Linked DNA regions of Diceros bicornis minor. The protein of the gene in region 4 purifies or fractionates together with the protein of the main gene of each other region. This does not show direct contact. Links are inferred from orthologs where the notes say so. Each region holds a gene or a part of one and is shown on either strand. Other genes may lie near its edges. The genes, in order: AP1B1, AP1G2, AP1M1 and AP1S2.

Region 1 (7,752 bases), on a different chromosome or scaffold from region 4:
GATAACCCATTATGATCAGTGCCACAGGACATCAAGGAGGGGCATCTAGCTCAGGCCTGCAAGGTGGAGGGGATGATCGGATGGGAGGCACCAAGTAGTGGTCCAGCAAAGAAGTGTGGGGTGGGGTGTGTATGTGACATGAAATGGTGTTCAGGCAGTGAGAACAGCACAAAGCAAAGACACAGAGGCATAACGAGTTAGCACTTTGTAGAAAAGCAGCTGAGTTTGCTTGGAGCTTGGGAGGAGGTAGAAGTGTGGAGCAGGAGAGATAAGGCAGAAGAGCCAGGCAGGGGTCAGAGCCCAAAAGGCCTTGAATGCCATGCTAAGGAATGTGAGTTTTAGCTTGAGGGCAACGAGGAGCCACTGATGGATATTCAAGCAGAAGTTTTTTTTTAAGGATTCTCCAACTGCTCAAGTGGTATTTTCTCTCTGGAGTTATCTGTTTCTCTCCGTGTGAAGAGAAAAAGAACACAAAAACCATTTCTGGGCTGTAATAATTTATAAGTAACCTATCTTAGACAAAAAGACTTGTGCAGAAAAAGAAACATCTTCAAGTTATAGATGTTCCCTCAGCTTTCAGGAATACACCAAAGTGCAAAACCCATACCCAAGCCATGTTTGCTCAGTGTCAGCACATCAGGCTTTGGTGCCAGGCATGCGGGTTTTCTGGGAAGTGAGCAGTCAAGATACGCAACAGTTTCAGAGGACGACTAGAAAAAGATGAAAGTCCAAGCCGAAAGCCAGCAGGACCAATGGACTGAACTTGTTCTGACAAACTTTTAGGAAGTGAAACGAGAAGGGTGGGAGAAGTCCTGTGTACACAAAGGTCTCTGTCTGCGGAAGGAAGTAACACCCCACAAACCAGGGTAGACAGCCTTCCTCAGACATAGACCCTCAGCAGGCATCAACTGCCTACGATCAAGGCTCCCACCGCAACATTAACAGGCTCTGCACAAACTTCCTCATCTAACCCCCACACGCACCAGTGTTGGGAGGAGAGGGGGAAGGTGGTGATCATTATTTTAGAGCTGAAGTAGAGGCCCAGTCTAAGCAAGTTGTCCGGGTCCCACTATCACGAAGCTGCTGAGCTGGGATCAGAACCCAGGGCTGAGCGAGGGGGAGAAAGGGAATCTTTTCCGTGTACCTCTGAGCTCTTCAGGTTGCTCAGGGAGAAGCCTCTGCTCAACCCACACTCAACAGATAATCTCTACACAACTTCTGAGGGATCTGATTCTTTGAAACTAGTGAAGCTGCTCTTCACGTCAGTTTTTAAGAGGTCGAGGAGCCTGGTGGGCTCAACTCAGGACAGGGAGCCAGATGCTCTGAGCTCTGCTCACGTTCCTACCATTTGTGACAAGTCGCTTCATCTCAAATCCTCCCTTGGAAGGATGGGGATAAGGTGACAATATTAAGGTTCTGTGAATTCAATGGAACTAGGAGAACAGATCATAGAGTTAAAAAAAAAAAAGGCACTACAGTAATATTTACATCACAGCTTTCTTCAGAAGCACGTGGAAACCTTCGCGAGTTCATTAAGGCTTACAACACCCAAGAGTGGGTAGGAAGGCAGCAGGTCTCCCTTGTGCTGCTCTCAGGGAAACTGAGGCAGAACTGGAGCTAGTGAATGTCTGCAAAGGAATAAGGCTCAGACTCACAGAACCTAGCCCTCCGGCCATCAAACCACCTCACCACCTCCCAGGCAAGATGTGCTTTCCCTAGCCAAGAAGCCATGGGGCCTGCACTTTTCTCAGAGAGACACAGACCCTTCCCTTGAGAACGTCCTTCAAGAACCTAGGGCTACAAGAGCCCCTAGAGGTCATGTGGTTCTTCTCTTCAATCCAAAAGGAATGCAGCTCAACTACTCTCAAGAGAGGTTCTAGATACTCTCAAATTAGCTTCATGGATAGCCTGCTTTGTGTCTCACAGTTCCCAATAGTCAGGAAAAACTTCCACGCTTGCCCTGAAATGTAATCACTTACACCAACAGCCTGCAGGATTGTTTCATCCTAAAGAAAGTGAGTCAAATGCCCCTTATGAAGACTAGACGAGAAGCAATAAGCCTACATCTTTACACAGATGCAAATACACATAATGGCTAAAGATATTAAATAGCCCCTTCATCCCAACCTTGCTCCAGCCTCTCTGCTGTCTCTGCACTTTGCTGGTCTCTGCAAGCAAGGGTAGAAACCCTGGTTCTTGTCTATACTACCTGATTGACCTTATACGTGTGATTTAACCTCCCTGTGCCTCAGTTTCCCCGTGGATAAAATGGGGATAACAACCGTAGCTACCTCACAAGGGCTGCTGTGAAGTTTAAACGTGGCACTGTACTAAAGCGCTTAGCACAGCGCCTGGTACACAGTAGGAGCTCAACACGCAGCAGCTGGCATTTTCGTCGGTGTTTTTAGCATTATTACAGGTGTCCCCAGCTAACTCGTCCGTGGGGCGCCAACGGACAGACCAAGCCCCAGCGTGCCGCGGAGCAGGCGGCGCAGGGCTGTTTCTTGCAGTTTTTTTTCCTTTTCGAACCGTGGCAGAGAGATAAGGCCGGAACGAAGAGGCCCCAGGGGATAAGTGTGAAGGGGAAAACCGGGACCGAAGAGGAGCTTCCCCTGCGGCCAGGGGCGGGCTCCGCGGGGCCTAAGTCTAGCCGTCTCTCCGGGAGGGCGCCCAGGTGGGGCTGCGGACCTGGGGCAGCTGGGCTGCGGGCAGCGGCCAAGCGGGTGCGAATGAATGAACCCGCAGTCCTTCAGCTTCGTCGGGGCCCGGGAAGCCTCTCTGGCCCCTCCAGCCCCACGTCCTCTCCGTGACCTCTGACCCCGCAACGCCCTCACCTCAGACCCCCGCCTCCCCGCCCCACTTCTCCTCCAGCCTCGTCGAACTCCCCGCCTCCTCACCCGCAGGTCCGCACGGCTCCCGGCGCCACGGCGCGGCGCGGCGCGGCTCGGCAGGAAAATGTCCGCGGCCTCCTCCCCCTGCTCTCCCGGTGCGCCCGTGCCGCCGGCCGCTCCAGCCCCGCGGCTGTCACCTGCCGGGCGGAAGTGAGCTGCCCGCGCGCGGGCACTTCCGGTGGACGCACGGCCTGGGGGCGGGGTCAAGGGTGCGACCCGGGCGGGGGTGGTGGTGCCCGCGGGGCGGGGCCGACCGGATTAACCCCTCCCCGGCCGCGGCGCTGCTCCGCCGCTGTCTCCCGCAGCGTGGTTAGGAAAATTAGCCTGCTCACCGCTAAGTAATTTCGCGTGATGGAGATGGAAAAGGTCGTGGAGACTCTGAGGTCCATCTCCCTTCTGTTATAGACGGGAAAACTGAGGCTCTGAGAGGGGCAGGATTTTGCTCAAGATCACTTACCGTATGAATGGAAGAGTCAAAACTCGAGGTGTAAATCTAGTCTAGCGCTCCCTGCCCTTCAGTGCAGCCCTTTGGGTATTCCACGTTAGAGGGGAAAACATCGCACTCTCCAAGAACTTCACAATATCCCATTTCTCCTTTTGCTGGGTCTGCCACGACTTCAAGTGCAATAGCCATCTCACTCCCGGCTCTGGTACTATTAACTTTCTTCTCCTTCTAGATAATTTTTGATCATCCCCTGTAAAACATTATTTCATTGCTACTCTTTAAAAATGTTTTACTAGGAAAATAATATTTGCATTGTAGAGGAATGGCAATATACTAGCAAGCAAAAAGAAGATAAAAAATCATCTGCAATCCCACCGCCCCGAGACAATCATTTTTAATATTTTGGTGAATATCCTTCAGGACTTGACATATCATTCAGTATTTTTAACTCACCAAGATGTTGGTAAAACTTTCCCAAAACAATAAATACATTTCTGTTTGGTGCTTTCCAATACCTGCATGGTATTCCACTGTATGGATGGTATCACTGTTCTCAAAAACAATCCCTACAGTTGTACACTTAAGTTGCTACCAATCTTATAATATTATAAAACTTATTAATAAATAAGCTTGCAAAGCCAAGTCTGTATGTCCTGTCTAATCTAGATATTATTGTTTTAATATTCAATGTAGTTTTTATATGTTTAACCAGACTCAAATCCTTTTTATAAAAGGTTTTATTTTTAAATCATTATAGACTTACAGGAAATTGCAAAAATAGTACATAGGGTGCCTTCACCCAGTTTCCTTCAGTAGTGACATTTTATATATTAGTAGTATAACATCAAAACCAGGAAATCGGCATTGGTATAATACCATTAACTAAATTTACAGACCTTATTCCATTTTTAAATCCTTTTCTGAAGTAGGCAGGAAACAAATAGAATGATTTTGTATGCATGTGTCATGTTCCACATGCTATGCACAGCTGTCTGGAGAAACCACCTTTCCCTAATGATCAATGTTGGCAAATGCCATCAGCCTCAGTGAAAAACAAGATTTCACTAGGAATGTAACATGGAAAGAGAAGGATTATCTAACAAAACAAACCAGCAAACCTAAAGGTACCAAGCTGGAGAGCTTATGTGAAAGTGGCAAGTTGGTGGTAAAAGCAGTCAGAGCTTTAAGAGTTCCAAGGAGACAGAAGTCACAGCGTCAATTTGCTCAAGAAGGATGTTCTGGGGAAGGTGGCATTTATGCTAGGCCTTGCCCAGTGAGGACAGAGTTGCAGAGGCTGAGATGGAAAGAAAGGGCAAACCAGAGAGATCAGTGCAGAGACAGGAAGGCAAGGGAGCCAGACGTCTGGGTCCTTCAGAAAGCATTTCCCAAGCCCCTGCTCTGAACCAGACCCTGGGCTGGGTGTTGGATAGTCACACAGGTGAGGCAAAGGCCCTGTCCTTGCTGAACCATCAGTTTGTCCGGGGAGGGTGACAGAGCAGCAGGCACAAATGTGGTTGGTGCTGTGATAGGGGAGGTATTGGGGACTATGGGAGTCCAGAGGAGGCACTGAAGCTCCCCCTGGGGTTGGAGGGAGAAGGGGAGGTGTGGACAAGTAGGGGGCATTTAATATGAAATTGCAGAACAGCAATGGATGTTTATGGAGCACCTGTAGTGTGCTAGGTGGTGCACAGGGGGTCTCATTTGCTCCTCACATCAGCCCCATTTTATTTGGGGAGTGGAGGGGAGCTGCAACTCCAAGAGCTGAAGTCAAACAATGTCCGAGTGGCAAAGCTGATGGTCTGGTCCCAGAGCCACAGCATACGTGCTCTCATAAGTCCCACTCATTCACCTAAAATATGTCTGTCCCTCTTACCTGAGCCAGCCATATTGGAGATACAACAGTGAACAAGATGTGGCACAACCTCTCCTTGGGAGAGGAACAATTAAAGGGGCAATTATAACACAGCCCAGAAGGACCAGGGGTGTGCAGGAGACTTGGGCACCAAACTCATCCTGGGAAAGTCAGGGATGGCTTCCTGGAGGAGGTGACATCCAGCAGGAACTGTGAAGGATGATATTACTACTACTAATAGTTACCATGAAGAGTCACTGTGCTAGGCTCTTCCCCATATTAACTCACTGAACTCTCTCAACAATTTGGGGTTCCATGACTGTCCCCAAGTAAAGATAAGAAAACTTAGGCCAGTGGGCAGAGCTGATTTTCCTCACTTCCCTGTAGGCCTTGGCCTCCTCTCTCACAGCTCAGCCTGGCAGAAGAGCTAAAAATATAATACTAATAAGAAGAGGCACAACTCAATGCCAAAGGCTGAATAATTACAGCTTGCAGAGGTGGGAGATGGAAGCAGGGAAGCGGGGCTTTCAGGGGGCTTCCCTCTCTAACCCCATCTCCAACCCAGCTGGCCACACTGCCTGAGTCACACTCACTGTCCAACACTGTCTAGAAAAGTCCCACCTGGGGCATGTGTGGCCTGCCTCAGACCTCTGAGCCCCTGGCCCAGGAGGAGCTCTTTGCTCCAGGATGGAGCAGAGCCAGTGATGGCCAAGCCCACTTGGAGAGAGAACAGACTTGTCCCAACAGATATACCATTACTAACAGTAACGTCACCTCCTGATTGGAGGAGGAAGTTTTTAAACTCTTCTCCAAGTCCTATTCATTTTCTACCCTGCCCTATTGAGCTGGCTGATGATGGACAGGCCTGTCCACCTCTTTGGGCCTCAGTTTCTCCTTCCTGAGAACTCTGCACCCAACATGTGCCAAGCACCATTGTATGCCCTTGACACCCATCACTTCATTTAACCCTCACTATTCCCAAGAGGTGGGCACTATGGAACTCCCACTTTACAGATGAGCACACTGAGGCCCTGAGAAGCTGAGGAACTTTTCCAACTTCAGGAGGCAACAATGGACCAAGCTGAGAGGCAAGGCCAGAGCTGAAGACTGCAGGGCCCATGCTTTCCCCCTCATCCCACCCTTACCTGCCTCATGACGTTTAATACAATCAGAGGGAGGTTGGGAGTTCTTGTGGTGTCAAGAAATGACCGGGGACCTGCTGACACACAGAATCTCAGAGCGTGTCTTTCCCACCCTCCATCCACACGGGTGCCTAATAAATACACGTTGAACAAATTGTATTTTTTTTCCATCTATGCCCACTAGAGGGCGCACTGGTGATATTAACTGCCCCTGACCTTTCGGTGTAAATGTTGCACAGGCAGCCGATAGCATGCCTTTCTCCGTCCCAACCTTCTTTCTAGATTCTTCTTCTTATCGCTATTACTCTACTTCAATTTATGTTTGCTTGCTGTTTTTGTTGTTTTTACCTTACAAACTTCTAAAAGTTGCCTCAGATCCTTTCCGGAAGGAGGCAGGAGTGATTTTGTCTGTAGCCTCACTGACACCACCAGCCCCACACCTGCTGAGGGTGGGCAGCTCCATATCCTTCCCGTTCGGGTGGAACCTGGCACAGACTCCAGGGCAGAGGGGCCTAGAGGCTGCCAGGGACCTCTCCTCTGCCTCCATTCTTTCCTGCTGCAAATGCTCTCATTACACCATCCCTGGTCTTCCAAGGAGCAAAATTCTGCTCACTCCCCTGTGGCCCCAGTGCTGCCATAGGCTGCCTCTTGAAGGGCTCTGCTCTCCCTTCTCAGGTTCCCCTGAGAGGGCTGAACCGCCCTCCACTGGTGCAATCAAAAAGGCCCAAGCTCTGAACCACACCCGGGTTCAAATCTTCAGCTGGACCCCACTTTCCAGCTGATTGGGCCTCCATGCAAAGTTGCTAAAGAGATTAAATTGTAGAATTTATGTACAGTGCCTGGCAACCTATAAACCCTCCTTCAATGGGAGCTTTAAAAATTATTTAAAGGCATAAATTGAGGCACAAAGAAAATGTCAATAAACTCCAATAGAGTAGAATTGGAGTTCATACATCAGTCTTTGATCACAATCTAAAAAGCTAGAAATCGGGGCCGATCCTGTGGCTTAGCGGTTAAGTGCGTGCTCTCTGATGCTGGCGGCCCGGGTTCGGATCCGGGGCGCACACCGACACACCGCTTCTCTGGCCACGCTGAGGCCGCGTCCCACATACGGCAACTAGAAGGCGGTGCAACTATGACATACAACTATCTACTGGGGCTTTGGGGGGAAAATAAATAAATAAACCTTAAAAAGCTAGAAATCAATAATAAAATCAGAAAATGGACCCTACACCTGGCAAATAAAACACTCTTTAAATTTAGTTATTTTAGTTATTTAACTATTAGTTAAATAGTTTAACTTTAGTTATTTAGTTTACCTTTTTAGTTTATCTAAATATTTAGTTCAACTATTTAGTTAGCAGTTTAACTTTAGGTATTTAACTCCTGAAACTTCTGGGTAAGGGAGTGAATTCAACATGT
Region 2 (7,247 bases), on a different chromosome or scaffold from region 4:
GATGGGAGAGAAGATGCATCTACAGGGGGCTCTGTCCTCTCCTCAGGTCTTTGGAAGGTCTCCACCATGTCATCCCTCAACCATCTAACAAAGTTCCTGAGCCCCACTATGTGCAGGGGCTATTGCACTGAGAGAGACTGTGTCCCTGTCCTCACTGAGGTCACAGTCTAGAGGGAAATGGAGACGTGACTGTACTGCCACTCTGTGGTCGGTGGTCATGTGAGGGATGCCCAGGGCTGGTGGGATCATAGAGCAACACACCTAACCAGTGCCCGCTCCCCAGCCCCCAACCTGGGCTAGCAAGTCATTCATGGTCTCACTGCTCTCCTCGTGGTTCCGGCCCAGAATCCGAAGCAGACGAAGTATCCGGACCTAAAGTTGGGTTAAAGGTTGAAAAGTGGAGGGGTTCATAGGGTAAGGAGTCATGGGGCTGAGGAGAAAAATCCATTAAGGAGAGCATTGTGAGAGACCTGGCTGGTTCCCTAGAGGCTCCCTGCCCCTCCCTCCCCCCCAGGTCCCTTGGGCCCTGGGAGGGGATCAGAGGTGTGTGAGGCCAGGGGATTTGCGGACAAGCTTTTTTTTATTGTTACCAAACTGGATTTTCTAACTTTCAGGTGTCCCCCTCCCCGCAATGGTCCTGGGATGACCTGGGCAGACCTGTGCCTGCCACCCTTCTGCCTAAGGCACTGACTGAGCCAAAGTGTTCTCCGGGAGGTGACCACCGGCCATGGGTTTCCAGCTCAGCTCTCTGTTCCAGGGATACAGCAGGGAAGGGCCAGCCCACCTGCAGGAAGGGGTCGCTGACTCCAGATATGCTGTGTTCTGTGGAGTATCCCGTTGTCAGCAGAGTCCGGAGGATCTGCACCAGCTGGGGCACCACCTGGGGGGAGGGCACAGCCTCATCTGGGCATTCTTCCAAGTCCTCTCACCCTTCAGCCCCACTCCAACCCCACTGCTCCTCTCTTCCTGGCCCAGGGCCTGCCCCTTCTCCAGCCCACCTTTCGAAAGTGCTTGAGGGCTGCAGGGCTTCGTTCGCTGAGCTCCATGATCAGTGTGATGGTGCCCATTAGGATGCCTGGGTGAGGGTGGGGGAAGCGAATGGTGGGCCAGGGGAACAGGAGCGTCTACTGTGTGCGTGTGTGTGCACGTCCTAGCCTTCTCCTAGGAGCTGGTGTTCCCATCCCATTTTTCACTTCTGTCGGTAGCCAGAGCTGAGGCAGGGGATGGGGAGCCCGGTGGCCTTACCGTGGTGGCGTTCGCGAAGCAGTTGGGCACAGGGTGGGAGGAAGATGGTGGAGAGCTCAGGGACCTTCCGGATCATGTGCACTGCAGTCAGAACAGCCTGCAGAGGTCAGGGGGCTCAGAGAGGGTGGAGGTCTGCCAAGATGGACCCCCTACCTCTATCACATGGCAAACGGGACAGTTTCTGGAGGGGCAGGTGCCTAGAGTCCTGCCAGCTCACCTTCTTGCGCACATAGGGGCTGGGCTGCAGGAGCAGTTTCTCCACCTCAGTGGCCAGATCCCGGCACATCTCAGCAGAGCCCATGGTGCTCAGAGTGCACAGGGCCAGGCCTTGTACTGCCTGAGTCCCCTGGCTCAGGTCACTGCAGAGTTGGGAGGGCAGTCAGTCAAGGCTCTGGGAAATCCAGGCCTTCCCAGTACCTACAGCAGGCAGCCCCTTGGGATTTCCCAGTTCCCCCATCTCCCATCTCCCTGATTCCAAGTGCTTCCCAGAACCCTCTCACTTCTTGATGCTGTTGGTAATGAGCAGGTGGGCATCCTGCCTCTCATCCAGTAGAAGCATGGCCCCCAGGTAGCCCACCCTCTTGTCTGTGAATCTGGGAGAGGCGATCAGTTTCAGGCACTCCATCTATAGGGAAGGGGGCAGACCAGGAAGGGGCAGGACTGAAACCAGAGGCACTAACATCCCTTTCTATCCTCCTCCTTAATGCCAGATTAACTTGTGGGGGCACAATATCCCATCAACCTCCCTTCAACAGGAGGAGGGGCTTAGGAGATCGAGAGTCAGTGGGTAGTTTCCAGGCAATAGGAGTCGAGGATGATGGGAGAGGAGAGGAGGAGGTACCCTGAATGAGGCTGGCCAGAGAATGAAGGGTTCAGTCCAGCTGATGACCCACAGGGACTGTAATGGGGAAGGAGGTCTGCAGTGTATACTGTGAGGGTTCAGCAACTTTGTAAAATAAAAAAATCAGGGCACAGATACGTGAGGGGGTCTGAGACACTGCTCCACTAGCCTCCCTCATCAAACTCTGCCCAGTACCTGTCCAAAGTGGGCGGGGTAGCCCAACATGTGGACGTAGAGCAGTTTGGCCAGCTGGCGGTGCCTGTGCAGAGGGTCCCCATCGCGGAAGGAGGCCCGGATGTGGGCGCACTCCTTTTGGATCACCTCCCGCTCCTGGGCCTGGGTCTTGGCCCCACGAATCTCCTCGATTAGGTCTTGAAGCTTCAGCGAAGGCACCAACATCCTGGGGGTCAAAGCCCGGGAATGGAAAGGGCTTTAACCTTCTCTTGCTAGGGCTGCATGGCCTTTCTGCCCAGGGTCCCCTGGGCCAAGATCCTGAGGGCCCGGGTCCCACAGCTACCCTAAAACTGAGCCCACATTTACCTTTCTCCACGTGGGTGTCCGAACTCCACCCCCATCCCGAGGAGATCCCCATTACGCATGCGTGCCCCCCCCCAACCAGCCCGTCCCTACTGAGCACGCGCAGGAGCCCCGCCTATTTCCCACCCCCCTTCCGTCCTCCACCTGGTTTCCCATCCCTAGCTCAGCCATTTCTTTCCTTCCACGGCCCTGCGCGATTTCTCTTGCGGGACTCCTCCGCCGTTCACATCGCAGGCGGCCCCAGCTTCCCCACACCAGGATGCCATCCCTAACGCCAGCCTCACCTGGCTTCTGGCTCAACTCTGCTCCTCTGCCCCCAGCACTTCCTGGTACGGGGCCGGGCGGGGGTTGGTGCTTCGTCTGGTCCTTCCCTCTCCCCGCCCCCACCACGGGACCCCGCCCTTCCTGGGCCTCCCTGCTGAGACGTCTTGAATCCTCTGACCTCAGGCCTCTGGCTTTGGAGTTTAGGGGAAGCAGCTCTGATCCGCATAGGGGCGGCGAGACTGTCTATCAGGCCTGGGGTTTCCCCAAGAGGGCTCCTCGAACATTCTCAGCACCCGGAGAGCCTCAGAGAGCTTGGGTTTGAAGCCATCGCACCCCAAAGGAGATGACAATCCCCCCCTTTTTTGAAGTTTTTTATTAATATATTTTTTTTGTTAAATTTCTTTGTATTTTTTTTTCCTGCAAGACTTAGTGTTGGCGGCACTGTTGTAGTTTAACTTCAATCCCAAATTCCATGAAATAGAAATCAGAAGTAAAGGTTGAGAGGGGAGAAAGGAGAGATGCAGGCCAAGGAGTGAACAGAGTTTGACTAGAAAAAAAGAGGAGGATGTGTGTGGTGGGCATTCCCAGGCAAGGCCATTCCTTGAGGGAGGGGGTTGGCAGGCAGCTTGCCTCTGCCTCATGCAGGGGAGGGAGGAAAGATCCCCTGGGTACCCTACAGTCCCTCTTCCTTGGGCTTCCTGCCCCCAGGGGAAAAGCTAGTACCAGGGATCAGCCACAATCTCAAACAGGGCTCTCCACCCACCTCTCAACGGCTTTGAGGCCCACCTCTTCCCTGCCTAGAAAGTGTGTGAGATTGGTTTCCTTGATCCCCTCCTCCTGTTGTTTTCCCATTTCACAAGATTCTGATGGGGATGGGGGAAGGGACATAACCCACTTAGAGACTACTAAACTTGTCACAGCTTCTGCTGCCCTGTGAGTTCCTGTTATCTAGTCTGGTTCCGTTCCCCAGAACTGCCGCCCCCTCCACCACCGCCACGACTGCCAGAGTTGGGGAGTGGGGTCCTTGCTCAGGTGCCTCAAACCCTCTGCAGTAGAAATGTCTTCTTCAGGCCCCTTAGAAATTTAATCAAAGGCCACAAGTGAGTCCAGACCAAGCAAATAAACGTTTAGGGGGAGAGAGGAGGGTGCGAGAGGTCAATGGGTGGACTTGGCTGCACTGGACATTTGCTTTGCTTTACACATTGCTCTGGACATGGCATGCCACCCAAACCGGTTGGACGAGGGAGGGGCTGGCTGTTGAGGAGAGAAAGAGGGAGATGCTAGAGAGTCCTCCTACTTTTCATTTCCCTTATCTCCTTCAAGGAAGGATGAAGTTAGGCAAGAACCTAGCTCAACCCTTGGAGGTGAGACAGGATCCTCCCAGGTCAGAGATGGGGGCTGCACCTCCTCTGGCCTTTTCACTAGGCCTCAGAGGGACCTCAGGCCCCTTGGGTCCAGCTCCCACCACAGCTCGGCCAGTGCCTTGCCCAGTATACAGTACCCCCTTCTCCATTTTCTTCCTCCTTTCCACTTGGCTTCCAGGAGACTCCTCAGGACACCAAACCCCTACCCTCATCGAAGTTCAGGTCTAAAGAAAAGGCGGGGAGGTTGTGGGGCAATGGTCTGACTTAGATTTGTGTGTCTCAGAGAAGAGAGCAACTCTGAGGAGAAAAGCCCTTCATATGTAAACAATCTAGAGAGGGAGAAGGGGTGGGGTGGGGAAGGGAGTGAGGACGACAGACAGATCCACAGGAAATGAGAGAATCTGAAAGGAGAGAGGGGAAGAAAAAGCAAGAGATGAAAACAAAGGGGGACAGAAAAGAAAGGAAGGAAAGGGAGAAGAGAAAGAAAGATAGGAGAAGAAACAACCAGGAGGAGGAAGAGAGAAAAAGGCAGGTCCAAGGAGTGAAGAGGCAGCAACCAAAGCCAGGCTAGGCTGGGCAGGAGCCTCAGGTGAGGAGCTGGGAGAACAGGAACGCCAGGCTGAGGTCCAGGAGGGCCACGGCTCCCACCACCAGGGGGTTGGCAGCTCCCTAGAGAGAGGGGGAAATGCAGCCTCAGTCCCCGAGGACCAGGTCCAACGACAGGTCCCACCTTCCTGCCCTGGCTGAAGTGGCAAAGCTGAATGGTCACAGCCCCTCTCCTCAGTGCCAGGCGTGGGGGGATCTCCAACCTTTGTTTTGGATTGCAAAACACCCCTCTTCTCCCAGGCAGGGCCCCACCTTCCCTCTGGCTCCCTCAAGTCAGGAACAGCCCTTCCTCCCTCCACTCTCCACTCCTCTCCCACCAGCATGTCACGTGGCCCAGGCAGAAGGTGCCTGGCCTTAGTAGCAGACGTTGTTGGCAGCAGCAGCCGGTACTGCAGTAAAGCAGAGGGGGATGAGGGATGAGGATGTGGTTGCTAGGAAACAGGAGAAGACCTGAAGTCCAATCAGAGTAGAGGATTCTGGAGAATCTCCACCCCTCCTGGGTTTCTGCTGCCTTTCCTATTTCCCTTCTTCCCAGGAGAGGGAGGGAGAGTCAGGGTAGGGAGGGAACAAGCTTTTCCTTTTTTATTTCTGGGCACCAAAGAGAGAAAGTGTGGAGGTGGAGGTGGGGGTGGGGGTGGAGTAGGAAACTGGGAGTTGGAAATGATATGGAAGGAGAACAGGGAAAGATGTTCTGGCTCCACCGTTAATTATTAGTTTGTAGCTTTGGGCAAGTTACTTCAAATGCTCTGGGCCTCAGTTCCCCCATCTGTCAAATGAGGGCGTTGGACATGAAGGTCTCTTTTGAGGTGGGATATGGGCCAGGACTGGGCAGGCAGAGAGGAAGCTGAGCCCAGATCAAAGCCCCAGGGGATCAGACAGAGGCCTGGATGGAAGGAGAGGCAAGGCTTTGGGAAGAGGGGCCAGAAAGGAGCTGAGACTCTGAGGGCACAAAATGGGGATGGAGAGTGTCTCACCGGCTGGGCAGGCCTCTCGGTTGCGGCATGCTCCTCAAGCTCTTCCATCAGGCACCTGGCTTCAGGACCCCTTGAGGACGGGCCCCTCGGGACTGGTGTGGTCCCGGGCTCAGGCTCCAAGCCCCCTGGGGTCCTCAGCTGGGGCAAGGGCTCTTCATCTTCCCCCTCCTCCTCTCGAAGACTTCCAGAACTGTCGCTGCAGCCTCCGAGCAGTGGGGAACCGTCTCTGGGCCCTGGCCCCTGCATCCCAGCCTCATCCTCAGCCTCATAGCCAGCTAGTTCCTCTGCCTGCTCACCTGGGCCCCCCCACTCCTCAGGCCAAGCTTTGGGGCTGGAGAAGGGACCCTGGTCCCCCCCAGGAGGCAGTGGGCTCCGGCAGGCAGGGTGTCGCCAGGGTTGGCGGGAGGAGGCAGGACTGCTAGGCAGTTCAGGGGAGCCCTCTGAGGGGGTCAGTCCATTCTCGTACACCCCAGGGCTGTCCTCATCCAAGGGCTCTGTGTCGGAACCTTCTGAGTCCTGCCTGGGTCTGTGGCCTGGGGCAGGGATAGCTAAGAATCAGAGGGGCCTAACTGGCCTTGGGCTGCCAAAGCTACAGCTTTATCCCCTGTCTGGGCGCCTCCCAGGACTTCAGTGTCCCCAGGGTTACCGCCTCTCATTGCAAGACCGCAACCCCATAGTCGTTCTGGCCCTATTTCATAAATTCCCAGGTCCACTCTCCAAACAACCGGGCCTGGCCCCCACCCTCCGTCCCCTTGGACCCTCAATCCTTGGCTTTTCCATCCCAAGTGCCCTGCAGGGATTCCCTTCCCCTTTCCATGCCAGAGCCTCTCCAGCTCCCCAGGGGGCCCATCCCCCGCCCCAGGCTGCCCACGCCTCACCTGGGGCCTCTAACATGGGTTGCAGGTCCTGGGCTATCAGTTTGGCCATTCGAGCTGCCTCCACAGCCTTCTCGGCGACACTGCTGGCTGCCACTGCCTTTAGAAGGGCGTCTGCTGCCCTGTTGGGTTCCAGGGACAGGGACTTAGCAGACCAGCACCCCCTTCAGATTAGCCCTGCTCAGATGCTCCAGCCCCCTGGCCCAGGTCCCCACCACATCACATCCTCTGGATCTGAGCTCACCTCTGGAGTCCTCACCCTTGCTCACACTCTGCCAGCTGCTCTCCTTCCCGGCCGCCAGGGCAGCTGGCCTTTGGTTTCTTCTCCTAGAGCTGGGCTGGGCCTACTGTCATTACACCTCCCTGCTCCTCTCACACCCTTCCACCACTGCATCCTGTAGTAACACTTCCCTTCTTCCAGCTGCAGGGGCCAGGCCCTCCCCAGCTGCCCGCCACTGTCCTGTTCCTTTCCTGGTGACAAATGAGACCTCACTCTCTTAGCACATCCCTCTGCAGTCACACCTGCTTGGTGCTTACAAGC
Region 3 (7,289 bases), on a different chromosome or scaffold from region 4:
CAATCCACACCTGTTCCTGCCTCAGGGCCTTTGCACTTGCAGTTCCCTCTGCTCAGAATGCCCTGGGCTGGCTCTTCTCATTTCTCAAGCCTCAGCTCAGACAGCACCTCCTCCCTGCTTGCCCTGGCTGAGAGATCATATCCCATCCCTCTCGACCCCCAACTCCACTTTACCTTCACTGCCCACATCACCACTGCATCATATGTTTATCTGTGTCCTCATTTACTGTCTGTCACTTCTACCAGAGTCTACTACTCCCAGAGAACAGTGACCACTTCCGTCTGGTTCGCAGCTGTGTGCCAGCACTGACAACAGAGCCCAGCCCACAGCAGGTGCTCAGTCAACGTCTGGGGAGTGAGCATGCAGGTGAGGAGACAAAGGAGGCAGGAATAACGCCCAGGGCTCCAACGTGGGCAGCTGCATGGATGGCAGTGTCACTCGCCGAGATGGAGAGAGAGCAGATGGAGGGAGAGTCTGCAGTGGCTGTGGGACTTCCAAGGTGTCTCCGAGGCCAGCAGATCTCCAGATAAGTCCCCTGGACTGCGGTATAAATTTGAGAGTCACCGGCACACTGACGTGAATCAAAGCCTGCCCCGGGAGAGGGACAGTATGCCTGAGGGGCCAGCATCCAAAGGGAGGGCAGCAGCGGAGGGGCCAGCAGACAGTGAGGGAAACAGGGGGCCGAAGGAAGCCTGCTGAGAAGTGTGCTAGTGGCCTCAGCAGCTGCAGAGAAACAAGAAAGACAGGGCGGAGGAGTGTCCACGGAGGGCTTTCTGTCAGCTGAACGTGGCCACGCTGGTTTCCTTGGTAATCAGAGGCTCTGGCTGGCAGAGAGCTGTGTGGTAGTGAATTTCCTGATGTGCCATTACCTTACTTCTGATTAAACGCAGTCTGCGCATGAGGCAAACTTCCAAAACATGAGGTCCGTGGGGAGTGGAATAATAAATGGCATGACGGTTGCTGAGGCCGGGAAGGGAGCCCCCGGCTGCCTCGGGAGCCTCCCGAAAGGCAGGTTGATCCTGCTTCTCCCGGGCTACAATCCCCCTGCGGTGGCTCCTCCTTCCTGGGATCAAAGTGGTCCCCTCTGGCCCTTTCTCCTGTCCGGACACCTTTAACACCCATGGCCCTCCTGGTGCCATCCACCAGGCTCCAGCCTTACGTAGGACTTCCTGCTTGCCAGCCCCAGTGGGCTGCCCCTCACCCCTCGGGCCCACTGAGATGCTTCCTTGTCCACCTGTCTGCCACTTGGTCACCTTTCCAGCTCCCCCATCTCCCTCCTCCAGGAAGCCTTCCGTAACCACTTCTCCTTCTGCCAGCCAAAACTGAGGTTAGGCAACTGCATTCCCTGGGGCCTTGTCCATGCCCTGTGGCTAACCGGATCTGACCGTCTGGATCCATGCGGCTGCTTCCACACGTCTCCCCTGCCAGAACGTGAGGCCCACAGGGTCTAACGCGGACTGTGGGCCCTGGGTGCTGCTGAGCCTCTCTCATGCGCGGCTCAGCGAGTTCACACAATAATGCCACGGAAGCCTCCTCTGACTAATGAGGAAAGTGAGGCTCAGAGAGGAGCAGGCACTTGCCTGAGGTCACACAGCTGAGCAGCAAAGCTGGGTTTTGAGCTCAGCCCTGACTCCACAGTCACCGCGAGATGGTCAGCATGCGGCTCAGTGCACGTAGGAGCTCGTGAAATCTTTGCTGAAGGAACGAGTGATTGGAGACAGGCAGCCTTTGGGACCTCTAAGGACACGGTGGCTGGGGTGGAAGCAAGAACACGTGCTACAAGGACTCAGGGAACACTGCACCCACCCCGCCCCTGGCCTGCCCTGTGTCTTTCCTTGCCTCTAAGAAGGTGGGGGGAAGGAAGCCCAGCACTGGGCCTCACTGGATGTTGACTTTGGGTGCCATCCAAGGCAGGCAACCCACTCAGGGGACTCCAGGGAAGTGCTGGGGGTGGGGAGTGGGGCAGGAAGGGGCAGCCACTTCTCCTCACACCCCACTGCTTCTGAGCTAACTCCTCCCTGCCCCACCTGGGCCTGACACCCACGTCTCCTCCCAGATTGATGTGGGACGCGTTGAACATTGTTGAACCTGTACTTGTTGCTCCCAGGTGCAAGAGGCCAGATCCTCACTTGCTTCCAGCCAGGATGGACTTGGGGAAGGGCGGCAGCCCACTTCTGAGAGGCGTCAAGATCCCTCCTCTCAGACTTAGAGACCTGCCTGGCATTTAGTAGGTCCTCCTCAGACACCAGCTGAATGAACAAATGATTCTGGGTTCGACGCCTAGACCTGTCACTTCTCTGTGACCGGTGTGACCTTGGGCACGCTGCGTCACCTCTCTGTGCCTCACTTTCTCCCTCTGTAAAGTGTCGCTGCCACCACCTACCGCACCTAATCCTTGTCACTCAATGTCACAACGAAGGAACGCTAAGACATACCTACAGGGACCGGCACAGAGAACTCGCCAGAGAAGCAGAAGCTACGTCCCTGAGAGGGCGGGACTGGCCCGAGGGCACACTGTCCTCGTCACGCCTCGCGACGTCGGGCCAAGGGTCGCGCAGCTTCGACGCCGGCTGCAGCCCGCCCTCGCCGCGGCCTCGGTCTTCCGGGGGCCCCCACCGAGACTGGAGCCCCCAGCCCACGGGGGTCAGGGGTGTCGTGCAGCCGGTTACCTAGCAACAGCGGCAGCCCACCGCGTTACCCAGCAACAGGGTGCGGACAGACGACCCTGCCTGGTTACCTAGCAACAGGGTGCGGCCCTCAGGCGAGGCCGACTGGCTTCCTTGCCCAAGACCAGGCTGGGTCCCATTGGCCGTCCCTAAGCAACAGGGTGGGTCCCCACGGGGCGCGGCCCCCGCCGGTTGCCTGGCAACGGGGAGGGTGGGGAGCCCTCCGTACCTTGCCCTTCAGGTCCAGCACGTAAACGGCGCTGGCGGACATGGCGGTGCGGGAAGCCTCGGCAGCGGCCGAGGGCGGCGGCGACGGCGGCAACCGCCAGGCGTTGAGCAAGGCCGGGCGCGAGCCGCCACTGTTCGCCTCCACTTCCGGTCCGGGGAGCCGCGCGCGGACCGTTAGGTCCGGTCGGGGAGGAGGGGCCAGGAGTGCGCGGGCGCAGGGCGGAGTATGCGCAGGCGCAGTGCGCTCTACGTGCTCTTATTTCCCGCTTCCGCCTCAAGCATCCCGGAAGTAAGGTCCAGAGGGACGAGGTCGGGCGGGGCCGAGTGAAGCAGGGCATCCTCCAGCTTCCCGCCTGGGCCCCGAAGCCATGGCAGCTGGAAACCCCGCTGTGGGCCAAATTAGGTGAGAGATCCCGGTGGTGGAACCCACCTAGGGCCCAGCCCTATGGTACTCATAGTCTGGTGGGGGAGTCTAGGAAACAATCATATACAGTCGCCATTGCGAAATGCTGTATGGGGAGAAGTAAGGAGGTAGTTACTTGGAAAGAGGTCAGACTCTCTGAATGGCAGTCAAGGCTTATCAACAGTCACTATCTGTCACCTGTCAGTGTCAACATTCGTCAGTGAACAGGCGTGCCTGTTTATTGCTTGGAATGATCTCCTAAAAACCTCCCCCCACTGAACCTAGGCGAAAAGCACGTGTTTCATTTCTGTAGTTAGTGCCCACGGTGGGTAATGCAAATCGTGACCTCTCATTAATCAATTGAATATCTCATTTGGTTTTATGAACACTCAGGCTGTGGAGAAATGTCTGCATTCTGTCCCAATGAACCATCACACTGCTTTGGGGATCCCAACCGTGCAGTATCAGAACCATTTACTCAGGCTGCCTGCCTTTCACTCATCTCTGTTTGGGGGCTCTGAAAGATGGCATTTGCAATAGATCCTCCACTTAGGATAAATGTAAGTGCAGGAAAATCCAGAGAAGAAAACTAATATCTGAAGACTACCAAGTAAATCCTGGGCTGGAAGCATTCTTGCACAAAGCAGCCAATGGAGGCCTTTTGACAATTATTGGGTAAGAAACCCTATTGTACCTAGCCTCATACTTTGCCCAGTTTGTTGCAATGTTTTAGAAAAACATGTCTTTTTTAAATTACAAAACTGTACATCTCACTGAAGAAAAAGTGAGTAAATGCCAAAAATTATAAGGCAAAAAGAAAAGCCACCCAGGAAAGGTGACTCTTCTCATTACAGAGCATCTCCTTTCAGCCTTGCTCTGTGCCTCTGTCAAGGAGGCTGGGGGGAAGACATTGTACAAGTCTTTTGAGGAAACAAAGATTCCCAAGTGCCAAGAGTACCACCACGGTAAACACTCTTCACACTTAAATTACTTGTAACTTCCTTTTCTCCATAAGTGGGGGAATTCGAGTCACATCTGAATTTCATCCTTGGCATTTATGTGTAATGTATAAGCCAGATTTGACCTCTGCAACATCTCAGAAAAGACCATACCTGTTGTGGTAGACCAGGGTTTCTCAAACTTTGCTGCATATTAAGGTCACCTGGAGAGCTCTGAAAACTCGCAATGACCGAACCCCACCCCAGGCAGCATCAGTGGTTCCTAATGCTCTCAGGAGAGTCTAACATACAGCATAAATTGAGAACCACTGTGGTAGATTGTAACAGTGATGGCCCCCAATAAACCACACCTCCTGGTCTTCATGCCCTTGTGTAGTTCCGAGACTCTGGGTTTGACAACGTGACTTGTGTTGGCCAATGGAACAGGCTATGTGGAGAGCAGTCTTGGGGGATGAGATGCCATCTTGGACTTTCTGGCCCCAAGGAAGCCAATGCAGCTACACATGTGTACTAAGCTACACCTCAGGGAGCAGACCCACCCAGATGAGCACTGTCAACCCCCAGAATCGGGAGAGAGAACTCCTGTTGTAAGCCACTCTGTTCTGGAGTGGTGTGTTAGGCAGAATTAGGATGTCTATCTTCCACTGTACTGACACAGGCTTTTCCAGCACCACATCACGCTCACAGACCTGCACCGCTGGCTCAGGGATAGAAAAGCCCTGACCCCAATGCTGGGGCACGCTGGGGGAATCTGCCCAAAGGAGCCACTGCTAATGAGAGGATGTCACCTCTCTCAAGTGGGCCACGAACCACAAGTAGAAACACATCATCCAAATTTTTCCAAATTGAGGGTGAAGAGTCGTTTCGCAGTATGCACATTCTTCATATGGGATAAACCCTTAAAAGGCAGCGTGTCTAGTGATAATCTAACAGCCTATAAGTAAGACACTCAGACTTACATTTCATAACTGGTTTTTGCTTTATTCTGCAGTTCACTTGTGACAGCCCCAGACCCAACACCCGATGTTTCTATTCTGACTGGTCCTCTTGCACTGTGTGCGTCAGTTCTCACAGTAGCATAAGCAGTTCCATCCTCAGCCGGTGGGTGCACGCAGGCCCTCCAAGATCCTCGCTCTCCAGCACCAGAACCTGGGTCCTCCCGTTTGACTGCACCCCTACCCGTCTGTCTGTGCGGGGCTCTGCCCTGCTCCTGTCACCCCTGAGGTGTCCTTAGGCCAGGAATGCCCAATAGGTTCCATGTTATGTGCCAACTCTGAATAAATACGGGGGGTCAGCTTGGAGCCCAGGGTTGAGGGTAGTGAGGCAGGCTGTGTCTGGGTTCCAATACAAAGAATGCTGTGCTTGATTAGTAATATCCATGGCAACACTCACTAGACATGTCTGAAATAGGGTTACTGGGGAAGAGGAATGCTGGCCACCAGCTCAGCTCAGAAAGGGACGAGGCATGTGTTCTATCCTTAGACAGTTGTTCTGCTTCCCAGGCTGCATTGTCTCACTGGCCAGGTGGCTGAGGAGGCAGTCTGCAGGCCACGAAGCTGCCAGTGGCTTCCCCAGGCCCTGGATGGAACAGCATAAGCCCCAAGCTAGAGGGAGCTTGGAAGGGCAGGCAATGCAGGGCCCCACAAGGGGCTGCATTGCAGGCCTGCTGGCATTAACTCCTTATCCTATGGAGTCAGTTTCATCCAGGCAAAGAGAGCTGGCCAGCTGTCAGAGAGAGTGACATGCAACTCAGGGGCAAAAACGCTTTTCCACAGCACTTACATAGAAATAACCTTTATCTCTGGGTAAACTCTTAAAAATTTCCAGTCCAAACTGAAAACGTTTATCTTCTACTGAGAAACCAAAATAGGGTAAAAGGGCAATCTTACTTTCATTGAGGTCTAGAATGAGGGCACACTGCTTTGAAAAGCACTGTCTCAACAGAGGACGCAAAGTGTGTGTAAAAGAATGTTTCTAAAAAATACCAAAGGCACCAAACATAACCCCAACTTCGCCTTCTGCTTCCCCTTGATGCCACTCCACCTCCCGGGCCAGGAGGCTACTTGGTCCAGCTGACTTTGGGAATGTCATAGTGCTCCGTCAGCGTATCCAGGTGTCTGTTGAAGTCCTGGGAAAGCAAAGGAGAAAGCCCACGTCAGCACAGCCCCACGCAGGGCATCAGGGATGTGTGGTGCTGCCCACCGCACTTCTCCACGTCCTGTCTCTCCTCAGAGCACCCCTCCTCTCAAGGCCACTCTGCCAGGCCTTAGAAACTCCTGAACCCTGGGCTCTCCCTTCAGTGACCCCCGGGTAGCCGTCACTTCTGTTGGGTACACTCTCCTCCCCGCCAACACTCCAGTGGCTCTTCTGCCAGGCTCCTAGCCTCTGGGGCCCTAGATGGCTCCATCTCCCCACTGGGCACATGACTTACCTCCACTCTCTGCTTGTGGGTTTTGGATGCTTTCTTCAGGATCCTTTCCATTTGCTGGAGAGAAGAGAAACAGGTGAGTTCACATGCCTGACGCAGCCCAGGCCAACACGGGATGGAAGATGGGAGCCCCAGTCAGCCTGGCTCTCACACCTAGAAAGGCCAGAGGTCTCAGGGTGTGCACCTTGCCCTTGCCTCAGCTCCACTCAGACTGCTCTGACAGGGAGGCCTGGCCGCAACATATCCCACCAGGAGCCCGGGTCAGCTGCGCTCCGGTCTGAGGGGCAGGAAATGAACCAGCACCAACTGAGCACATACCCACAAGCAGACTGATGGGAGCTCTACATGTGCTTCCTGCTTCCTTGGGCAATTATACGCATTCCCAGTTTGCAGAAAAAGAAAGGCATGGGGGGTTTAAGAAAGGCTGAGGAAGGAGGAAGGTAAAGGGCCCGCTGCAGAGTAGGTGCTCAAGTGACAGGACACAGTGCCAGGAGGGCTACGAGGTCCTTGATGAGTGTGATTCTGGAATACGCCTCTTGCAGCACCAGGACCTGCTCCACTCCTCATTCCCAACACCCGATGGTCCCTGGTAAGAGGTAAGAGCG
Region 4 (7,788 bases):
CTGTATAAACACAAAGTTTTTAAACATCTATATGACTGAAACGGTCTATGTATCCAAGGTGTTTATAAGTGAGTAAGATTCTAAGTCAGATAAAAGGCATGTCAATTATCAGTCATTACAGATTTTCGGGGAGAATGGAAAGGGGTGAAAACGCTTGTCTAAATTCAGCGAGTTACTCACACAATTTAAAATACTGATCCTATTTTTCCCTGCAAAGAAATGAATTCATTGAATTTTTCTAAAAAGATGATTAAGCATGAATAATCATTTACGCCTACAATTATATAATTAGATTTAAAACGACTTCCCTATTATCATTTTAGCCTGGGTAATCAATCAGAACAGCAGTTATTTTAAAAATACAAAGCTTTAATTTAAATCTTTTTCATCTAAATCTTTATTAATCATTATTTATAAATGTAATCTCTCGAAAGTCTGCAATTTCCACATTATAGATGACTGAACATTTCATTCTGCTATTTCACCTTTCTGATAAATAAAAATTATACCTTTTGTAAACAATCTTCAGATCTCGCCACTCAAGAAAGCTGCACATTTTAGGTTTCCGTGCTAAGACGGTTTGAACAAGTTCTCTTGTGATCTTTTTCTTCTCTTTGTCTGATAGTGGGACATACCATTTCTGCAGTCGAAGCTTTCCCTGACGACTAAAAAGCAACATAAACTGCATCTGTTAAGATAAATAGAACCAAGATCATATGCAGTACTTTGATTCAATAAAAGTTAAGATTAAGATGACATAGCTCCAGGGGACAGGGTGTCAACTGACAAATGATTAGTAGCCATCAATATTTCTATGCCAGTTAAAATAGCAGGAAATTCTTGTAGAAACATCTTCCCACCAGATGCAATCTCTCCATTCCACCCTGTTCCACGTAAGTTTGGAAAGCAGTGTGTGGGGGGAAGAAAGAAAAACAGGTAATAAGCTGGAATGGAAATTTTGAGGAAAAAGAAAGATAACTCTTGCAATTTAAGAAACTGTCTGCCTGTGCTATACATTCCACACTCTCTATATGCATCAAAAGAGAATTGTTGACAAGAACTGGTTTAGGTACATTTAAAAGAAACAGGAGACCTACTATTTTCCACACTCTCTATATGCATCAAAAGAGAATTGTTGACAAGAACTGGTTTAGGTACATTTAAAAGAAACAGGAGACCTACTATTTTTCACCCTGAGGCTGTTCTAGTTCCAGGCTGAATTACTGTAGACAGACTGCTATCACTTAGAATGCTTTCTTCAGTTTATGCTTACATATTTTAAGCAAAACAAAAGATCTAAGAGATTACCCAAAAAAAAAATCCTATAAAAGCACATTTTTCTTAATAAAAGCATGACTTTTAAGTATCTCTTCTCATCTCACTTTTTAAAAATACCAACATAAATATGCACACAATAAACGAGTTAATGTAATATTATGAAAGAGAACATAAACCTCTAAAAAGCCAAAACAAGAGTTAAACATATTCAGAGACATTACACGACATACTTCACTTAAAACAACAAAAAAATAGCATTGACAGATGGGAGTGGATGTTGAATTCTAGTGTACTTTACACAAACTATTTTGTATATATTTATCTGGAATCTGCAAATCTGTTATTTAGTCTACACATTTAATTTTTAAGGCAAGTTCTTGTAAATTCAACTGGTCTTCTCAACTGCAAACAGATAAGCACTGTTTCTACAAAGGTAATTTAAAGGTAGAATTCAGACGAGTATTTTTTTCTTTTAACTCTCCTAAGTTCCTTTAACAGCGTTACTGCAAGGAAGATCCCAGCCTGATTCTTAACATTCACCACACCATCTTGAATTTAAACATGGGGTGGGGGAATTTACACAACCCATTTAGAATACAACGGGCCCTGCCTTTCGGTAAGAAATTATTGTCGCTCTTTGTACTAGTCCAGACAGGCATCAACAAAATACTTAGAAATTTATGATGCGGCAATTTAACTTTATTAAAGTTAAAATTGGCTTATTACAACTCACTTAAAACGCTTCACTGGTACAAAATAAACGAACAATATTCGTGATATCAAAGTCCCTCCCATACGAGTCCTGTTAAGATAGCCGCATTCGAAGGGGACCGCAAGTAAAGCATCTACCGGACAACGTTTAATGCAAACCCGTTACCAGAACTTGGAAAATAACAGACCCGTATTCCAGGATCTCGGTGACCAGGAGGGGTGGGGGTTTGCTTTCGAAAGGAGTATAGGCTCAACGCTGTCGGTAGCAGGGTCCTGTATTTCCCCTCTACCACTTTATAGGACAAATAAATAATTTACTCTCTTTAAAATAAATTATGCGCTAACATGGGACGATACCCGGTTGCAAGACACAAGTATTCCCTCTTATTAACAACCAATGCTTCGATTGTGCCGCAAATCGCAGGGCACCTCAATTCCTCGAGATTGCTATTAAAAACAATGGGCTCGGCCGCGGGGCGGGCTCGGGGCCAGCGTTCCTCGGTCCGGCCGTCTCCGCCGCCTCCCCGCCGCCCCACGGGGCCGCACTCCATCACTGACCAAGCCCGGGCGAGGTGACAGGCAAGGTGCGGGGCAGACAATGGCATCCGCCGCCGCGCAGGGGGCGCCAAGGGTCCTCGGCCGCCGCCGCCCCCGCCCGCGGGCCCCTCCCGAAAATGCCCCGCAAAACTTGAGATGATTCCCGAACCACAGGTGCCGCGGGGCCGCCGCGGCGGCCGGCACTGGCCCCCGCATCCCAGGGCGCGGCGCGGTGTGGAAAGAGGGGAGCGGACGCAGAGAGAAGTGAGTTGCGGGGCGCGGCGCCCAGCGGCGGGGCGGGCACGGGGTGGGGTCGTCGGGGCGCGCGGGGCGGCGGGGGGCGCGCCTCACCCTCCCGCCCCCATCCCCGTCCTCGGCGCCCCGGCTCGCCCCTCTCGGGACTTACGGCGGCCGCGGGCCGCGGGCGCGGCGGGGCTCGGCCGGCGGCGGCGGCTGAGGGGAAACCCCTGTCGCTGAGCTGAGGAAGGGAAGCCGTGTTGCTGTGGGGAGGGGACTCGGTCGGCGGAGGGAAGGCTTAGGCGCCGAGGGGAGGGCGAGCCGACAGACCCCGCCCTGGGGGCCGGACGAGGGAGGAGCCGGGGCTGCGGCGAGCGGAGGGGCGGGCTGGGCGGGAAGCAGCTGCGCCGTCGCCAACGGCACCGGAGGCAGCGCAGGTGACCGCGCAGTCCAAGGAAGCCGATTGGCCGCCTCTCTAGCCAGAGGGGGTGGTGCGAACCGGAAGCCAGGCCACGTGACCCGGAAGCGGCTTCGGCCGGGGCCGCCTGCGCATTCCTGGGTGTGCCCCCGAGACTCGCACGGGCGGTTGTCCCCGCTATTCAGTGCGGAAGAACAGGGTTCCGCGGTGGCCTCTGGTGACCCTGCTGTGCAGGGCAGGGAAGGTCTGGACCACAAAGAGCCAAGTCGGAGCTCTGCTAACTCTCCGTGCCCTTAGAGGGTGGGACGGGGAGGTGTGACAGCCGGTGATGATGGTGAGGGTAGAGAGGGAGTGCTGCCGCTCTGGGGAGAACAAGTCGGCTCTTTCGTGGAGCTCGTGCACGCATTCAGCGAGCCGTTTGCAATTATTCTACTTCAAAACTGTTCGGAATCCGGCCCCTCCTTCGCATTGCACTGCTACAGCCCTGGACACCGTTCACCCCAGGCTGTGCAGGTGTCTCTTCCTTGGGCTTGCCTCTCCCATCCTCAGTGCTGCGGACCTGATGAGTTAGTGTCTGTTCTCTGCTGAAAAGCCCAGACAGCACCTCGTCCACGTTATCTCGCTCCCTTCACGGCGAGTCGTCCCCCCGCCCCCCCCCCCCCCCAGCCGCCTGGGTTCCAGTTTAGCCTTGCCGACGACTTGCTTTGCCTGGCATGCGCTTCTTCTCAAATGTCACATCTCCTGTGAAACCTCACCCTCAAACCTTGTAAAAACGAATCCCTTTCACCCACATGCCCATTAGCCTGTTTATAGCACATCTTGAGTTTTATTTCATTTTGTATCCCCACTTGCCCGTTAGCCTCTATTTAGCACATCTTGAATTTTATTCCTTTTGCATCCCATCCTAGTTCACTGCCTGGTATATAACACAACTAATAAATGTGAGTGGACTGATAAGGACTATAAAATGATAGATTTGTTAAGAGCCATAGTGCTGAGCATTGTGCTTGATACATAATGGATACCCATATTTTTTTGAATGAAAGAATGGATGAATCATCTAGTACAACTCATCTTTTACAGATAAGGAAAGGGGAGCCCCACGGGATTAAGTGACCTTGCTTGAACAGCCACGGGTTTCTCGTGTCGAATGCTATTCATTACCCCAGTCGCCTAGGTTCTTACAAAGGAAGCTGGAAAATTGTTCTTGTGGAGCTATGCCCTTTTTGCAGAGGTTCCCAAATATAGTCGCCAGAATTTTTTAATGGCCCAAAATGAAAAAGAAATGCTAAATTTTTCATGAAGCTAAATTTATTCATTTTAAAGGAATTCTTTATTAGAAATTGTGTTCTTTTTTTTGTGTTAAAATACCTATAAAACTAAGATAGTATATAATAAGGATTTGGGGGCATTTTTTAATGCCCTTATTTGGCAAAATAAAATTGTATAATACCTCTCTTTTAAGCACTACTATGCTGCTTGAAAAATTTCCTACTAACATGTATGATTAATGTATACTGGAATATTAAAGAAGTGGTTGGCACAAAGCACAGAGCTGGCTTTCTGTAGGTCTTTGGGTCCCCTGCTCAAATGTCTCTGCTCCCTGACCAATCATGCCCCAAGGCCCATGTTAATGTCCCTTTTCTCCTTTAGTACACAAAACAGATGCCTTTAGCCAGTTGAAAGATCTAATACTATGCAATGAAAACTAGCCCTCTGAATCCATATGCTGCTTTTCTCTTTTTCTGTACAAAACACATATATCCTCAAGCTTCCTGAGATAACTACCTTCAAGTTTCAACTCATTGGTTACGCTCCTAATGTTGGTCTGTGGTTCTGAATATGAGGATGGGAGACTTGCTGATGACATATTGGCAGTCTCTGGTGTTCTTAGCCAAGAAAAGGTGGGGGGGGGGGGTTGGGGGTAGAGAGGGAAAGGAATTATGGGAGAAATAATTAGCAGCTGAAAGCAGCTATTACATAATCTTGGCTGCTTATTAATTTAGCAGAAGGAATGGCTTATTAAATTCTAATAGCAACAGCACAACTGCAAACAACCTAGCAATTAACAGTGCAGGGCCCATTATTTTGTTAATATGCTCTCTTCTTTTGGCAAGTGTATAAGAACAAAATTTATAGTAGCAGATGGTCTTTTTCAGTAGATTATAGATGGTTTATTCCCCAGTCTTAGTAGTAACTGCTAATTGTGCATTCACCATGAAAGACAAAAGAGGCACTTTTACTGTCTTTGTTGGTAATTAACTGCTTGACTTTGATTCCCACAATTTCCAAATTGTGGGCTTTGTTATATACATATTTCTTCTCACCTAGTATCTTCTTCATCTGTAATGTTAATAGGGTACCTTTTTTAATCCTCTGCTTTTGTCATCTGGACGGTCCTGATTTCTTGGTTATTAATGATGGTACAAAAATTATTTTTTCTGAAAAATTAAAAATCAGATTTTATCCTTTTTTTTTTTTTGGTACAGGAGACATTTAATACAAAACCATTTCTCATGGAACAAGAACATGTAGTGTCATGGTGCAAGGCTGCCTGATGTTTCCCAGGTTTCAATGGCTCAGATAGATAAAGGAAAATTCGGCAAGGTCAAAAGAGAGAAGAACAGATTTATCCTTAAGTAGGAAAGATAACCGTGTCCCAAGTGTACAGAAGGGGAAGAACTGAAGTATTTCTGGTAATCTGCCTTTTATTTATTTATTTTATTGAGATATAATTGACATATAACATTACATTAGTTTTAGGTGTACTTCTTAATGATCGGATATTTGTATATTTTGCAAAGTGATCACCACAATAAGTCTAATTAACATCACTTGTTTAAAAAAAAAAAAGTGCCTAGCTTTCATTTATGCTAAATGCAAGAGGTGAGGGTGAAATAGGGATTCTGCCTTTTAACAATAAAATTTTGAGACTTTTTATGTAATCTTTTAAAAGTTTTCAAAAATAGTTTTAGTTTTCTGTTAAATGTGTGATGGCTGTATGCTTTTATCTCCTTTCCTTCTCAAAATGACATTAAATGAAAAAAAAAAGGGATGTTTAAAGTATATATCCACATGGGCAGTAAGAGAGGGGACACTAGTGTGAGGACGCCAACAAGGATGTCAGGCTACACTGCCGGCTCATCAGTAAACACTGATGAGTTAAGTAAAAATTGTAATCTGTTTACATTGAGAATATGGAGGAGCAGAAGTGAGGGAATGTTGAAATAATGCTAAATCCTCACACACTAACGGTAAAAAAAATAGATAACATTGAGCATAAATGAAGAAATACAATTGTTAGCATATTCTTTAGATACCAGGAAGTAAATTCCAGAAGTAATGATGACTTTCTTTCTAGGGACAGAATCTTGAGGTAAGATGTGATAAAGGTTATTATTACATTTTATTTTAGTGCAGGTTTTACTTAGATAATTTTTTAAAATATTGTAATGAAGTAGATAAAAACTCTTCTGTTAGTGCTAACACTATATTATGGACTTGCACAGTGTTCCTTTAGCCAGTCTATGTATTATTTAGAAATTATTAAATGAAAATGCCTTGTAATGGAATTCCGTGCTGAATCAGTATAGAAGATCACAATTAGTGTAAAAAAAGATGCTTAGAGTTTGTGAGTTTGCATCTCCAAAGATAAGGTTGTTCCAGGGAGAAAACTGGCCTAAAATAATGAGGATTTGTGAACCAAATCATTTCAAATAGATAGAGCTGTTACTGCCAAAGTCTTCAACAATGAGCTAAAGAGAAATGTGGAACATATGCTCTTTCTTGAAGCCTATTTCCATAGCTTTGAATAAAATGCAGGAAAATGACTCTTCTCCTTTTAATATTAGGTTAGAGCAGTGTTTCTCAACGTTTTTATCCCTCCCCCAGGGGACACTTGGCAGTGTCTGGAGACATTTGCGGGGGGTGGGGGGGTAGGGGGAGGGTGGTGATGCCACTGCAATGTATAGGACAGCTCCCATCACAAAGAATTATCCAGCCCAAAATGTCAGTAGTACCGAGGTTGAGAAACCCTGAGTTAGTCATTGGAAAGGTTAACAGGCAGTAACTGAGATCTTGTATAGACATTTCAAGAAATGGAATATGTACTATCTTCATATAAGTTTTTTTCTCTCTCTCTTAAAGGAGGTGGAGGCATTCTTTTTTTTTTTTTTTTTTTTGTGAGGGAGATCAGCCCTGAGCTAACATCCATGCTAATCCTCCTCCTTTTGCTGAGGAAGACTGGCTCTGAGCTAACATCTATTGCCAATCCTCCTCCTTTTTTTTTCCCAAAGCCCCAGTAGATAGTTGTATGTCATAGTTGCACATCCTTCTAGTTGCTGTATGTGGGACTCGGCCTCGGCATGGCCGGAGAAGCGGTGCGTCAGTGCACCCTCAGGATCCGAACCTGGGCCGCCAGTAGCGGAGCGGACGCACTTAACCACTAAGCCACAGGGCCGGCCCGGCATTCTTAATATTAGATAAAATCCTTAACTGCTGAAAAGACTCACCGCTACATAAGGTAGTCAGTATTCTTTAATAGTACCTAGAATAAACTATCTAAATGGGATTTTTTTTTTCAGAGTGACCCCAGAATATTAGTGGAA

Evidence for each region.
Region 1: the proteins of AP1S2 (region 4) and AP1B1 purify together in Homo sapiens (affinity purification with mass spectrometry; 5 studies listed by BioGRID and IntAct, counting the BioPlex papers as one, with this or other methods). This does not show direct contact. The link is inferred for Diceros bicornis minor from reciprocal best matches to the Homo sapiens genes AP1S2 and AP1B1.
Region 2: the proteins of AP1S2 (region 4) and AP1G2 purify together in Homo sapiens (affinity purification with mass spectrometry; 3 studies listed by BioGRID and IntAct, counting the BioPlex papers as one, with this or other methods). This does not show direct contact. The link is inferred for Diceros bicornis minor from reciprocal best matches to the Homo sapiens genes AP1S2 and AP1G2.
Region 3: the proteins of AP1S2 (region 4) and AP1M1 fractionate together in Homo sapiens (co-fractionation; 6 studies listed by BioGRID and IntAct, counting the BioPlex papers as one, with this or other methods). This does not show direct contact. The link is inferred for Diceros bicornis minor from reciprocal best matches to the Homo sapiens genes AP1S2 and AP1M1.

Annotation. Positions count from the first base shown.
Region 1 is NC_080774.1:23,055,634-23,063,385, forward strand, and holds the start of AP1B1 (AP-1 complex subunit beta-1), read right to left. Parts: upstream 3,011-7,752; 5' UTR 2,898-3,010; intron 1-2,897. UniProt on the Homo sapiens protein: Subunit of clathrin-associated adaptor protein complex 1 that plays a role in protein sorting in the late-Golgi/trans-Golgi network (TGN) and/or endosomes.
Region 2 is NC_080744.1:24,298,075-24,305,321, reverse strand, and holds the start of AP1G2 (AP-1 complex subunit gamma-like 2), read right to left. Parts: upstream 3,013-7,247; 5' UTR 2,908-3,012; intron 2,649-2,907; exon of another isoform or gene 2,627-2,648; intron 2,487-2,626; 5' UTR 2,486-2,486; coding exon 2,282-2,485; intron 1,871-2,281; coding exon 1,746-1,870; intron 1,605-1,745; coding exon 1,463-1,604; intron 1,343-1,462; coding exon 1,246-1,342; intron 1,076-1,245; coding exon 999-1,075; intron 881-998; coding exon 785-880; intron 373-784; coding exon 292-372; intron 1-291. Other genes in the region: JPH4 (junctophilin-4), read right to left, coding at 4,837-4,920, 5,832-6,364, 6,710-6,828.
Region 3 is NC_080759.1:4,410,522-4,417,810, reverse strand, and holds the start of AP1M1 (AP-1 complex subunit mu-1), read right to left. Parts: upstream 3,015-7,289; 5' UTR 2,938-3,014; coding exon 2,896-2,937; intron 1-2,895. Other genes in the region: protein FAM32A, read right to left, coding at 6,316-6,384, 6,688-6,741. UniProt on the Homo sapiens protein: Subunit of clathrin-associated adaptor protein complex 1 that plays a role in protein sorting in the trans-Golgi network (TGN) and endosomes.
Region 4 is NC_080781.1:13,028,577-13,036,364, forward strand, and holds the start of AP1S2 (AP-1 complex subunit sigma-2), read right to left. Parts: upstream 3,016-7,788; 5' UTR 2,933-3,015; intron 689-2,932; coding exon 510-688; intron 1-509. UniProt on the Homo sapiens protein: Subunit of clathrin-associated adaptor protein complex 1 that plays a role in protein sorting in the late-Golgi/trans-Golgi network (TGN) and/or endosomes.